Canis lupus familiaris: one gene and its partner. The protein of the gene in region 2 binds, or shares a complex with, the protein of the main gene of each other region. Links are inferred from orthologs where the notes say so. Each region holds a gene or a part of one and is shown on either strand. Other genes may lie near its edges.

Evidence for each region. The genes of interacting proteins can lie anywhere in the genome.
Region 1: USH1C (region 2) and ANKS4B share a complex: the UniProt entries of both Homo sapiens proteins name them as parts of the IMAC/intermicrovillar adhesion complex. The link is inferred for Canis lupus familiaris from reciprocal best matches to the Homo sapiens genes USH1C and ANKS4B.

Annotation. Positions count from the first base shown.
Region 1 is NC_049227.1:24,449,824-24,455,555, forward strand, and holds part of ANKS4B (ankyrin repeat and SAM domain-containing protein 4B), read right to left. Parts: intron 1,683-5,732; 5' UTR 1,604-1,682; coding exon 1,440-1,603; intron 1-1,439. UniProt on the Homo sapiens protein: As part of the intermicrovillar adhesion complex/IMAC plays a role in epithelial brush border differentiation, controlling microvilli organization and length. Plays a role in assembly of the complex.
Region 2 is NC_049242.1:40,743,089-40,748,820, forward strand, and holds part of USH1C (harmonin), read right to left. Parts: coding exon 5,715-5,732; intron 4,740-5,714; coding exon 4,680-4,739; intron 4,521-4,679; coding exon 4,464-4,520; intron 4,178-4,463; coding exon 4,035-4,177; intron 2,952-4,034; coding exon 2,886-2,951; intron 2,503-2,885; coding exon 2,378-2,502; intron 1-2,377. UniProt on the Homo sapiens protein: Anchoring/scaffolding protein that is a part of the functional network formed by USH1C, USH1G, CDH23 and MYO7A that mediates mechanotransduction in cochlear hair cells. Required for normal development and maintenance of cochlear hair cell bundles.

The DNA.
Region 1 (5,732 bases), on a different chromosome or scaffold from region 2:
ATGTGGGGCCTTACCTTCCTCTTCCTCCACCCACCACAATGTCCAGTCAACTATAATTGATTCTGCATCCAAACTACCAATTAAATCCATCCCTGTCTTCCCATTCCCACTGCCACTGCCATAGTCCAATTTGTCTTTCATCTCAACCATTAAAACAGCCTCTAAACATTTTCTGTGACTGCTATACAGCTACCTGAGCAAGTTTGGTAAACACACATCTACCAGGTGGCTATCCTATATAAACCTGATAAACCTGACAATGGCTCCTATGCCTTTAGAACAAAGTTCAACTCTCCAACAGAGTTTACAATGCTCTTGTGATCCGGCCTTGTCTCTTATAACTTAGCCTCTCCCCTTACAGCCACATCCAGCTATGCTCAACTTCAATGCCTAGACTGCACAGTGCTCTCACTTGGGGGAAACATTCTGTCTTCCATCTTCTGGCCAGCTGCTTCTCACCTTTCAGGTCCCAACTTCAAAGTTCTAAAATGCCTATTATCAGTCTCTGGATTGGGATAGATTCCTGTGTTATTTATTTAGTGCTCTCTCTTTTCCCCTTTGTAACATATATTATACATGACTTACTTAATTTCTGTCTTCATCTCTTAAATCTGATCGCTATGAGGAGAGGAATGGTGTCTCTCTTGTTGATCACAGCATCTCCAGTGGCCAGTAAAATGGCTGGCACATTGCAGATATATATAAATAAATATGTATTAAATGGAAATTAATTCACTTAGTTCTTTTATTAGCATTTTCTTTTTTTCCATTCTTTACTCCTGTTGCATTTTGGTTGCCAACACTGCCTAGCCACTCTGGTAACAAGCAAAAGAAAAGAGCTAGCTAATTCCTGCATTAGAATTTGGGGGGAGTACAGGAGCATTTGTATGTATCTAATAGCTAAAGAGATAATAAAGTTCAGACAGACCGAGATTCCCTTTTATAGCTTGAAGCCAACTACTTCATCTAAGAATCATGGGCTTGCATTAGGACTGAATATTAATAAAAGGCTGTGGGATTATAATGGCATAGATTTAAAAAAATAAAATAAAAACGCATCATTTGTTCCAATCAAGGTTGACATCTTAAAGTCAAGTAGAACAGTGATTCCTTTTTAAACAGCCAACCATTTACATTTCATGGAAAAGATTTTTTAAAAGTGCAGAATTAAAATAGTCCCCCCACCCACCCAAAGCAGATAACAAAGACTTAGAGTTCAGGATCTTTCTATGTGTGGTTCATAAGGGATGAGCCATCCTCAGGTTGGCAGTTTAGTGTGAAAAGAAAATCTCTAGGTAGTTTTCTCCCTTTCTCTAAAAAGACAATTATTTAGACGGTCTATAAAGAACCAAGTATTTTCACTGGCTTCCCTCTCTCTGTTGTCTGAAAAAGCCTACCGGAAACACGGTCTCCAATCAAAAGTATCAGATTGAACTTACCCTCGGCTGCAGATTATTTCTAGGGCTTCCAGATTCCCATGGTAGGCTGCCAGGAGTGTGGGAGTCATACCATCCTCATCAGAAAGATTCAGATCTCTCCTGGTAGCTTCTTTCAAGAGTTCCAGGTAGCTATCACTAGCAGCTTGGTGGTAGCGAGTGGACATTTTTTCTGCTCACCAGAGCCTGGCCAGATATCACTCTCCAGGCAAAGCAGGTTGTCAGTGGAGCAGCCTTCCTATAAAGCTGGTTAATCAGTGACAAGGAAGAGCGTCACCCCAGGACAAAGCTCATTCTAACCTCCTCTATGGAAGGCAGCCAGAAAGGTTCACAGCACTAAACTTGGACCTTTCCTTTCTGGCATGGCCATGACATCGAATATTAAGGACCTCTGTGTTCATCTTGAATGTTGTGAGGCACATTTAATCTTTTTATGTCCATTAGCAAGTCTTGAATGCAATATTGGTCATCTAGGCACAGAGTGTACAAAATAATTTCCAAACAATTCAGAATCTCCACTGAGGAGGTCTATTTTTAAAAAACATTTTATTGAAGTATAATTTATATACTATGAAATTCATCCATTTTAAGTGTATAATTTGATGATTGTTGGTAAATTTACAGAGCAGTGCAAGTATCACCATAATCCAATTTTAGAACATATCTACCACTCTCAAAATATCCCTCATGCTCATATGTAGTCAATCCCTATTCCCATTCCCATTCCCAACCATAGGAAACTACTAATCTGGTTTCTGTCTCTATAGATTTGCCTTATATGGGCATTTCATATAAATGGAATCACAAAATATATATTCTTTGTGTCTAGGGGTTTTTTTTAGCTTCACATAAGTTTTGAAGTTCAATTCCTTTTTTAGTAACAGTACTTCCTTTTTATTGCTGAATAATATTTATTATACCAATACATCAAATTTTAATTATTCATCCAGTAGCTGATGGACTTTTAGATTGTTTCTCCATTTAGATGGTTTTATGAATAATGCTGCTATGAACATTTACACACAAGTCTATAGATATATATTTTTATGTCTCATGGGTTTATATCACAGAGTGGAATGGCTGGGTTATATGACAATTTATATTTAACTTTTTCAGAAATTGCTAAACTGTTTTCCAAAGTGACCATACTCTTTTACATTCCCACAGCAGTGGATGGTGAGAATTTCTCCATATCCTTGCAGCCTCTGTTGTCTTTTTGTTCATTGCTATCCTTAGTGGATGTGAAGTGGTATCATTATGGTTTTAATTTGCATTTACTAATGATTAATGATGTTGAACACATTTTCATATGCTTATTAGCCATTCTTACATTTATATGTAAATTCTCTGCCCATTTTCTCATTGGGATATTGTCTTATTGAGTTATGAGGGTTCTTTATATATTTTGAACAAAAATAATTTATCTGATATATTTTGAACTGAATGAAAATGAAAATGCAACATCTCAAAATTTGTAGGATGCAATTAAAATAGAGCTTGGAGAAGAAATTTGCAGTTTTTATGCCTGTATTAGAGAAGGAGAAATTTCTCAAATCAATAACTACAAGTTCCACCTTAAAGAAAGAAGGAAACAATGGAAAAATTAGTGTAAATAAAGAGCACAATATAAGACCAAAAACATGGTCCAAATCTATCTATAATAAAAATAAATGTAAATGGACCAAATTCATCACTTAGTAGACTCAGCCATATCTTATTTACGATAGTCACAGCTAAAATATAAAATTACAGAATGATTGAAAGCAAAAAATGGAAGTTTTATCAAGAAAATACTGAGCCTGGATGGCTCAGTCAGTTAAGTATCTGACTCTTGATTTCCGCCAGGGTCATGATTTCAGGATGGTGAGATTGAGCCCCACATAGGGCTCTGCCCCGATGTTGAGTCTGCTTGAAATTTTCTCTCTCCTTCTTCCTCTTCTGTCTCCCCACATGCGCATGCATGTGTTTACTCTCTCTCTCTGTTTCTTTTTAAAATATTTTATTTAAATTCAATTTGCCATCATATAGTATAACACCCAGTGCTCATCCCATCAAGTGCCTTCCTTAGTGCCCATCACGTAGTTACTCCATCCCCAAAATCTTTTTTTTTTTAAAAGAAAATACCGACTGGGATCCCTGGGTGGCGCAGCGGTTTGGCGCCTGCCTTTGGCCCAGGGCGCGATCCTGGAGACCCAGGATCGAATCCCACATTGGGCTCCCGGTGCATGGAGCCTGCTTCTCCCTCTGCCTGTGTCTCTGCGCCTCTCTCTCTCTCTCTCTGTGTGTGACTATCATAAATAAATAAAAATTAAAAAAAAAAAGAAAATACCGACAGAAATAGTATAGCTATATTTACATCAGACAAAATACAGTTTAAGACAAAAATTGCTAGGGATAATACATAATGATGAAAGGAACAAGTCATCAATAAAATATGATATTCCTAAACTTGTGTGTATGTAATAACATAGCCCCCAAATAGAAAAAACAAAAATTCATAGAAATGGAAGAGAAAGAACAAATCCACAATCATAGCAGATTTTAATACACTTTCTTAATGTTACATATCAATTAAACTAAAGATTAGAAAAAATATAAAAGATCTGAACACAATTAAAAAGCTTGATTTAAGAATACTATGTAGAACTCTTACTGGATAAAAAATACATGTTCTTTTCAAGCACACAGAAAATATTTATAAAAATTTGCCATCTAATAGAACCAGTGCAGGCCTCAATAAATATAAGATGACAGGTTTCATGGAGACCATGTCCTCTGAAGATACAACAATAAAATTAGAATCTATCACCCTATATAACTGATGAACTATTTATATATTCTCCTGTGGTATTTTTTACATAGTTTTTACCATCAACTACATACCATTTTGCATTGTCTTTTCTTCTCCTTAAACCACCATAAAAACTTCCCATATTGTTACAAAATATTTAATATGTTTGGACAATAGTCCATGGAACTGGGATGCCCGGGTAGCTCAGCAGTTGAGTGTCTGCCTTTGGCTGGGGGTGTGATCTGGATCCAGAAATCAAGTCCCACATCAGGCTCAGTCCAGGGAACCTGCTTCTCCTTCTGCCTATGTCTCTGCCTCTCTCTCTGTGTCTCTCATGAATAAATAAATAAATTTTTTAAAAAAACAGTCCATGTAACTGAAGTGAGGAAGACCTATTTTCAAAGTCTGTATCTATTTATTCTTCTTATCTCTTTTTGTCCAAACCTTTATTCCAAGATAAATTATCTGTCCACTCTGAGAAAATACAAGGCTTTCATCTGCAAGTTTTTCACAATAATTAGCTCCAGGGTCAATGTTTGTTCCTTTTTCTGGTTTCTATGAGAACACCAGTAGACACTGTAGAAGCAACCTGGAGGCAACATTTTTTATTTGTAAAGGGGGAAAAATAATTTTTTTAGCCCAGCGTGTGAAATATTCAAACATGATTATGGATACTTTGAGAACAAGGTTATGTTCCTTAGCTATTTTTTGCATGAGCCACTTAAATTTAAACATAATTGAATTCATTAATGGACTCTAAAGTAGAAAATTATATATAACTTGAGAGAGGGCTTCTCAAAGATGAATTATTTGAAGTAGAATTCTAAGTGCCAATCAGACAAGGAGTCTGTTATGAGATGAAGATGAGGATAATGATATTGTGATAATGATGGGGAGAAGGAGAATGATAAAGGGAAGATGGAGGCAAAGAATAAAGAGAACAGAGCAACCATGGATGAGAAGAAGGGTTGAAAATGGAGATCTCAACTCCAGGAGTACTTATGACTTGGACTTAAACTCTCCTGTGAAATGGAGCTTTTATTTTTTTATTATTTTTTAATGGTAAAAATCCTGGCACTCTTTGGCATTTCCTTGGAAAAACTTTGAAAGAATGGATTATGAAGGGGAAGTAAAACAGAAACAAATGCCGAACTTGAAGATCCTCCTTAACCCATTCCCTCAAAATGAGGTTGACAAAGAGGATTGAACTTGGACCTAGAAGACCTGAAGTCCATATGATCTACAACTTACTGCATCTGTTTGAGTCTCCATTTCTTTGTGGATAAAATTGGAGGATATTGCTCATGATCATATCATCCTCTAAGCCTATAGTAGTAAAGGTGAAATGAGATAAAATTACGAAGTATAAAATATGGTTTTAAAAATGGGAAGAAGCCATGTGATTGTGGCTTCCCATGTGAAGGGAGCAGAAAGAGAGAGAACTAAAACTTAGTAATTGGTCTTTTTTATTTGCTACTGTACTTATCAGAGTAAAAAGGAAACAA
Region 2 (5,732 bases):
TACTCAACAGTGGAACACTGATGCTTTCTTGCAAACAAGAATGACTCCTTAATACAACAATAGGAAGACAAATGATTACTGAATGGTTTGATAGGAAAAAAGTCTCAACTTCTAAACCCTGGGGTCTGTTGGGGGCAGAGGCTAATTGACGGGGTCCTTGATGGAGAGAAAAGCCTAGAAATATCTTATTTAAACCTCTTCATCTCCCAAAGCTCCTTTCAACTTTGGGATCCTTAATCCCTCTCCCTCACTGCTTTGAGTAAAGAGAGCTCTTCTGGGGCCTCTGTGACAATCTGTCCTGGGTCAGCAGAATGTTGGGGTTCTGCTGGGTTGGCCATGGGGAGGCAGGCATTGCCCCTGGGACAGTGATGGTGAGAGGAGCAGCCAGTTCCATGCACATCGTTAGGATGAGGGATTTCCTTTTTCAGGCCAAGAGATGCTCCACACTCTTTCCTGTCTGCTCAAAAACGTGTGCCCCTGCCTCTCACGGGCACAAAGCCCTGAGTCAGGTATAACCTATTGGCTAACTGGGCCCCAGAGCTAAAGAGTGGCCAGGGAGGAGCCAGCAGTGGCCTGGTCCCTGGTGGCCCAGCACAACATGGACTGTTCCAGCCTCCCAGGAATGGGGAGAGAGGCAAGAATGGAGCTGGCTCGGAGGCCTTCTTGCATCTCCTGACTTATTTCTCAACAAGATGGAATTGCCAGTGCATATGGGGGATGGATGGGAGCAGCAGCTGCCCCAGCTCAGGCAGACAGGCTTGGGGCATTAATCCCATGCTTTGCACATTCCTCAGAAAACATTTATATCTTCAAGCAAAGGGAAAGTTCTTGCTCCTTTATTCAAGAAGATTGATTTGGTTTAAAAGCACTAAATAAATAGCTAGCTAGAGAAAGGGTTTTTATTTTTTATAGTTCCTGAGAGGGTGTGTTTGCTCTGAAGCCAAGACCCAACTTCTAGAAAGGTACTAAATTGGCTAGGATTACTTTCATGAGAAGCAATTAAAATCGATTTCTCTCCTTTTGAAGCTCCTCTTTCACTCATAAGAGCAAATTAGCTCCCTGTCTAAAACACAGATTATTCACCAGGAATTTAGCTCTGGCCACATCCTCAACTAATACCAAATGTCAGGGGGGAGGCTGATGAGAGCTCGCTTTGTCCTTCTGAGAGGACCCTGAGATGACACCATACCCTGCTGCCAGGAAGGAATGTGCTGGCAGGTATCTGCCTCGCCCCAGGGAGGGTGAAATGGGACCACCCAGATGCCCTGTCCAACCTCTTCATTGACCCAAGTGGACTGTGTTGGCAAGATGACGTCCCTCTAGGGCTCAGGTATGATCCAAAGTTGGGGCCAGAGTTGTCCAGACCCCATCACAAGATGCCGAATGGCTGTGACACAGGAGAGATGGGGAATCTTGGTTCTTAAGTATATAGATTCACCCCATATCTACAGGTTCCCAGGTCAGCTGAGCACAATCAGCCGCAGTAGAACTGGCCCTTTGTCATGTAAAGTGAGAGTAAGGCTCAATCTGGAATCCTGGACTCCTGATTACTATGGCCCCCAAGCTACCTTACTTGGCTTCCTACCACCAGCCGACTGGAGAAGCATGAAGACTGAGCCCCCACTTTGCTCTGGTGGTGTGAGCTGCCCCTTGAAAAGACATCCTGCCAGTTGGGGTTGAGAGCAGGTGGACAGGGGAACAGGTGGTGGAGGCCTGGCCTGAAATTGGAGGTAAGAACCCAGGATAGATGAAGAAAGGAGGGGTGAAGGGCAGAGGGAGCTGAGGCCCCAGGATGGCCACAGTTTGGGTCTCAGAGGGGTCTCAGTCCTCTTCCTGACTCCATCCCTGAAGGGATATGACCATAGCCTACACACAGGGATGCAGGTGGCAGGGGCGCTTCAGGTAAGCTCTCCCCACAGTACGCATCAGCCTTGGACCACCAGAGTTTTCTCCAACATGAGCATTTCCCCTCTTTCTGGCTGCTGTTGCACCCCGCTCTGACTCAGAATCAGGTGGGATGTGGACATGACACCCAGCAAACTGAGATGATGATCCCATGAGCAGCTCACTTTTGCCACAGCTCTCCATTCCCTGGTCAGCAGCGCAAAGGCATGGGGAGAGGTCCACCTACCTAAATCTATGTTGTGGGCGAGAGCCTGGCAGCAGGCCCCCAGGGACAGGGGGGCAGACAGATCCCACCCATCCCAGTGCCCCGGCAGATGGCTGCCCCTCTATGAAGAAGATGCAGCCCAAGGAGCCACGGACTCTTCACCTGGGGAAGTGGTGGTGAGTGGAGGAAGACCAGCATCTCTTTCTACATACTCCTCAAACCCCAGGCCCCAGAAAGAAGCCCCCTCCTGCAGCACATGATACGTACACTTAGGCTTGCGAAGGGGTATTGGGTGCACCTCTGCGGTGATGGTTTTAGGTGAGAGCAGCTGTTCCTTTGAGCCCCAGTCTTCTTCCCACTGCTTCTTAAACTTCTCCTCCTCTTCCACAATCCTGAAATAAGATCCCCATGCCTGTGACTGGGGTCAGGATTTTTACAGGCCCGCCCTCTGTCTCCTGGGAAACCCTAAACAGCCCGGGAAGAGGTCACGTGGCTCTAGCTATGCTGAAGAAAACAAAGTCCCTGGTACTCATCGTCGTAATCTGCATCGAGTGTGAATGTTACCCTGGGAATTACAAGACCACTTTCTAGTTACCCTAACACGATGGGCTTTACTAGAACTATGGAATGGCTACAGATAAAGGTGATCCACCAGGGGACAAGAGGGCCAGGCAAACCGGGCCTGGAGGTGGCCTCTGGCGGGCCACAGTCCCGAGAGCACACTCATGTCTGCACACTGACACGTGTGTGCAGGCATGGGGACCCAGGCACTCACTGCTCCATCTCCTTCCGGTATCTTTCATTCTCCTCTGCTGCCTTCTGGGCAATTTCCTTTTTCCTTCTGAAACACAAATTCATGGCATGTTGGAGTCTATGCAAGAGACATAGAACATCCAAGATGGCATGCTGGAGACTATGCAAGAAAAGTTAACTCTTCCTTGGAGCCAATTCCTGATTTGAGAAAGGTTTAAAATCTTTCTTCCAGGCTCCCATCCAAGGATGCCTGGACCAGATTTGGATGCTGGAGAAACAGGTCCAACAAAATCTGGGCCCCGTGTATGGTTTTGTCTGGCACTGCTGAGTGGAGATTCTGTGATGCCAGGGATGGGAGGCAGATCAACACAGGCCCCACTCTATGTGTCTACCTCCAAACACTTAGATAAAGTGACTGATGACAGGCAGGGCCTGGCTGGAGTGAGGTCCTCCAGGAAGAGGACCCTAGGCCCCATGTAGTCAGGGCTGCTGGCCAAGGCCAGGGCAATGGGCAGAGGTACCACCAGGGCTGGTTCTCCAGGCTCATTCTGTGATGGAGAAAAGAGGTGAAGATCCTGTTCACCTTCCTTTCCCAAATTCCTTTTACACTCTTAGAATGTATCTGGAGTTGACTGTGTGTGTGTGTGTGTGTGTGTGTGTGTGTGTGAATGGCTCACACCATTTATTCTTTCAGTCCATGATCTCGATCAGCTCCAGGAAGAGGGGCCTTATTACCACAGACAGGTATGAATCCCAGCTCAGCCATGTGTGCCTTTGTTCACAAGTGGTTTACCCTCTCTGCGTTAAGACCTCTCAGTCTCCTCACCTGTAAAATGGGTGAATATCATCTATCTTCCCGAGCTATTGTAGGAATTAAGTAAAACGTGAACAAGGCCCTGACACAAGACCAGCCACATGACTGATACTCAACAAATGTTAGCTACTTAGTGCTAATAGCATCCTCATCTTCCATACTCATGGGTTTTGGAAGTCAGGGGCTCTCCTCAGCTGCAGGGAAGAGCTTGGTGGTCTGGCAGCAAGGGATGGCTGCACTGACCACCACTGAACCCATGTGATCTGAAGACAGGCCTCAGGGGGGCAGGATGAATCTGGCCCAGGACTCAGTGGGCAGGGAGGGTCGGGGAGGAGCATCCCGGCTGGCCACACTTACTGTCGCTCCATCTCCTGCTGCTCCTGGAGGATCTTGTTGGACTCCATAGCCAGCCGCTTCTGCATGAGAAGCTCCTGCCGCTGCAGCTCACGCTGCCGTGCCTCCTCCAGCCGCTCCCGGTCTGTCAGGAACAGCTCCCGGCCCTCAGGGAGTGAAAAGAGGCCCCTTACTCAGTCTCCTGGGGAGGAACCTGGGTACCCACTGCCACAGCCCTGGGGACCAAGATGCAGGTTGTCTTCACTGTGGCTCCTGCCGTCTCTGAGCAAGCTTCTCCTGGCTGGGCAGAGATCTCTCCCTCTGCTCTCTCAGAGCTTTAGGAATAGAGACCCTCTGGCCTTTCCCGGGAGTGTGTGGCAGAGATCAGGGGTCTGAATGGCTGGGGCTGGAGGTCAGAGTTTAGGGCCCCCTATCGGGTCATCCTGGACTTACAGCTCCAGCTACAATGGAGATGGTCAGGCTGCGGCTACTCTTCAGCACGTTCACGGCCTGGGGGGACAAGCGGACGGTTGGCTGAAGCCTGACAGATCAGGGCGGTCAAGGTCTCTAGAGAGCACAGATGGTCTCAGACCGCGGCAGGGAGAGAGGGGCACGAGAAGTAGAGGGCAGACATGAAAACGACCAGTAGCTGAACACCCCACCTCTCACCTCCTTGTGGTCCAGGTTGGAGAAGTCGATGCCATTGACTTCGACAATCTGGTCCCCTGCCTGGTGTAGAAAGGGAGAAGGTTCAGCGTGTTTGCACTATCTGTAAGCCCACTCATCTGCACGAAGGGCTTCCCCTGGTGGCCAGGGTCAGATGTTGAGCCTTCAAGTGGCTGCACCTCAACTCTTCCTGATGAACACAGCAGTTAGAAAGCTCTGATTGGATCCTCTCAAGGTGCATCCACCTCATGTCTCTTTTATCAGTGGTCAAATATTATACTACTAGAGGTTCATTCCTTTGGCTTAATTTATGACATTTGCTTCAAAAATGTCATAAATCAGCTTGTAGACACAGGAGCCCTTTGGTTTCTCATATAGCTGAGGCTGTTTTGAGCCATGATAATAAATTGTATAACAGGTAACATCCATCAATCACCTACTATGTGCCAGGCACTGTTTGAAGTATATGTATTAATTAGCTTAATGAATTAATCCACACAATGACCCTAGAAGGAAGGCTATGCCCCCATTTTATAGGAGAGGAAACTGAAGCATAGCAACAGGAGGTAACTTGTCCAGAGTAGAGAGTAAGAGCTCTGGCTCTGGCCTCAGACCACCTAGGTTTGAATCCCAGCCCTATCACACTTATTACGTGATCTTATTATCACTTATTACACGATGTGAAAAATCACATACTCTCTCCAAGTCTCAGTTTCTCCATCTGTAAAATGAGGATAATGACACTACCTAATTCTCAGAGTTCTTGCAAATTTTAAAGACTTAGAACAATGTCCGACCCAGGAAACACTTAGTGAACATCAATTCTTTATTATTACTACATTCCCAAGCTCAGGAGAAAAGGCTTTTGGAGCTGGAGAAGACTGTAGAAAGGTCAAATGTGAAGCTTTCCTTGGGGGCGGGTAGGAATCATAGCCAGTGGCTGCTGGGAGAGGGCTGTGTGGGAAGGCCCGTGCCCCTGTCGCTGTGTGATCATCGTCTGACCCCTTACCCCACTGGGGTCGTGCCAGGGTCACTCACCTCTAACCCCACCTCGGC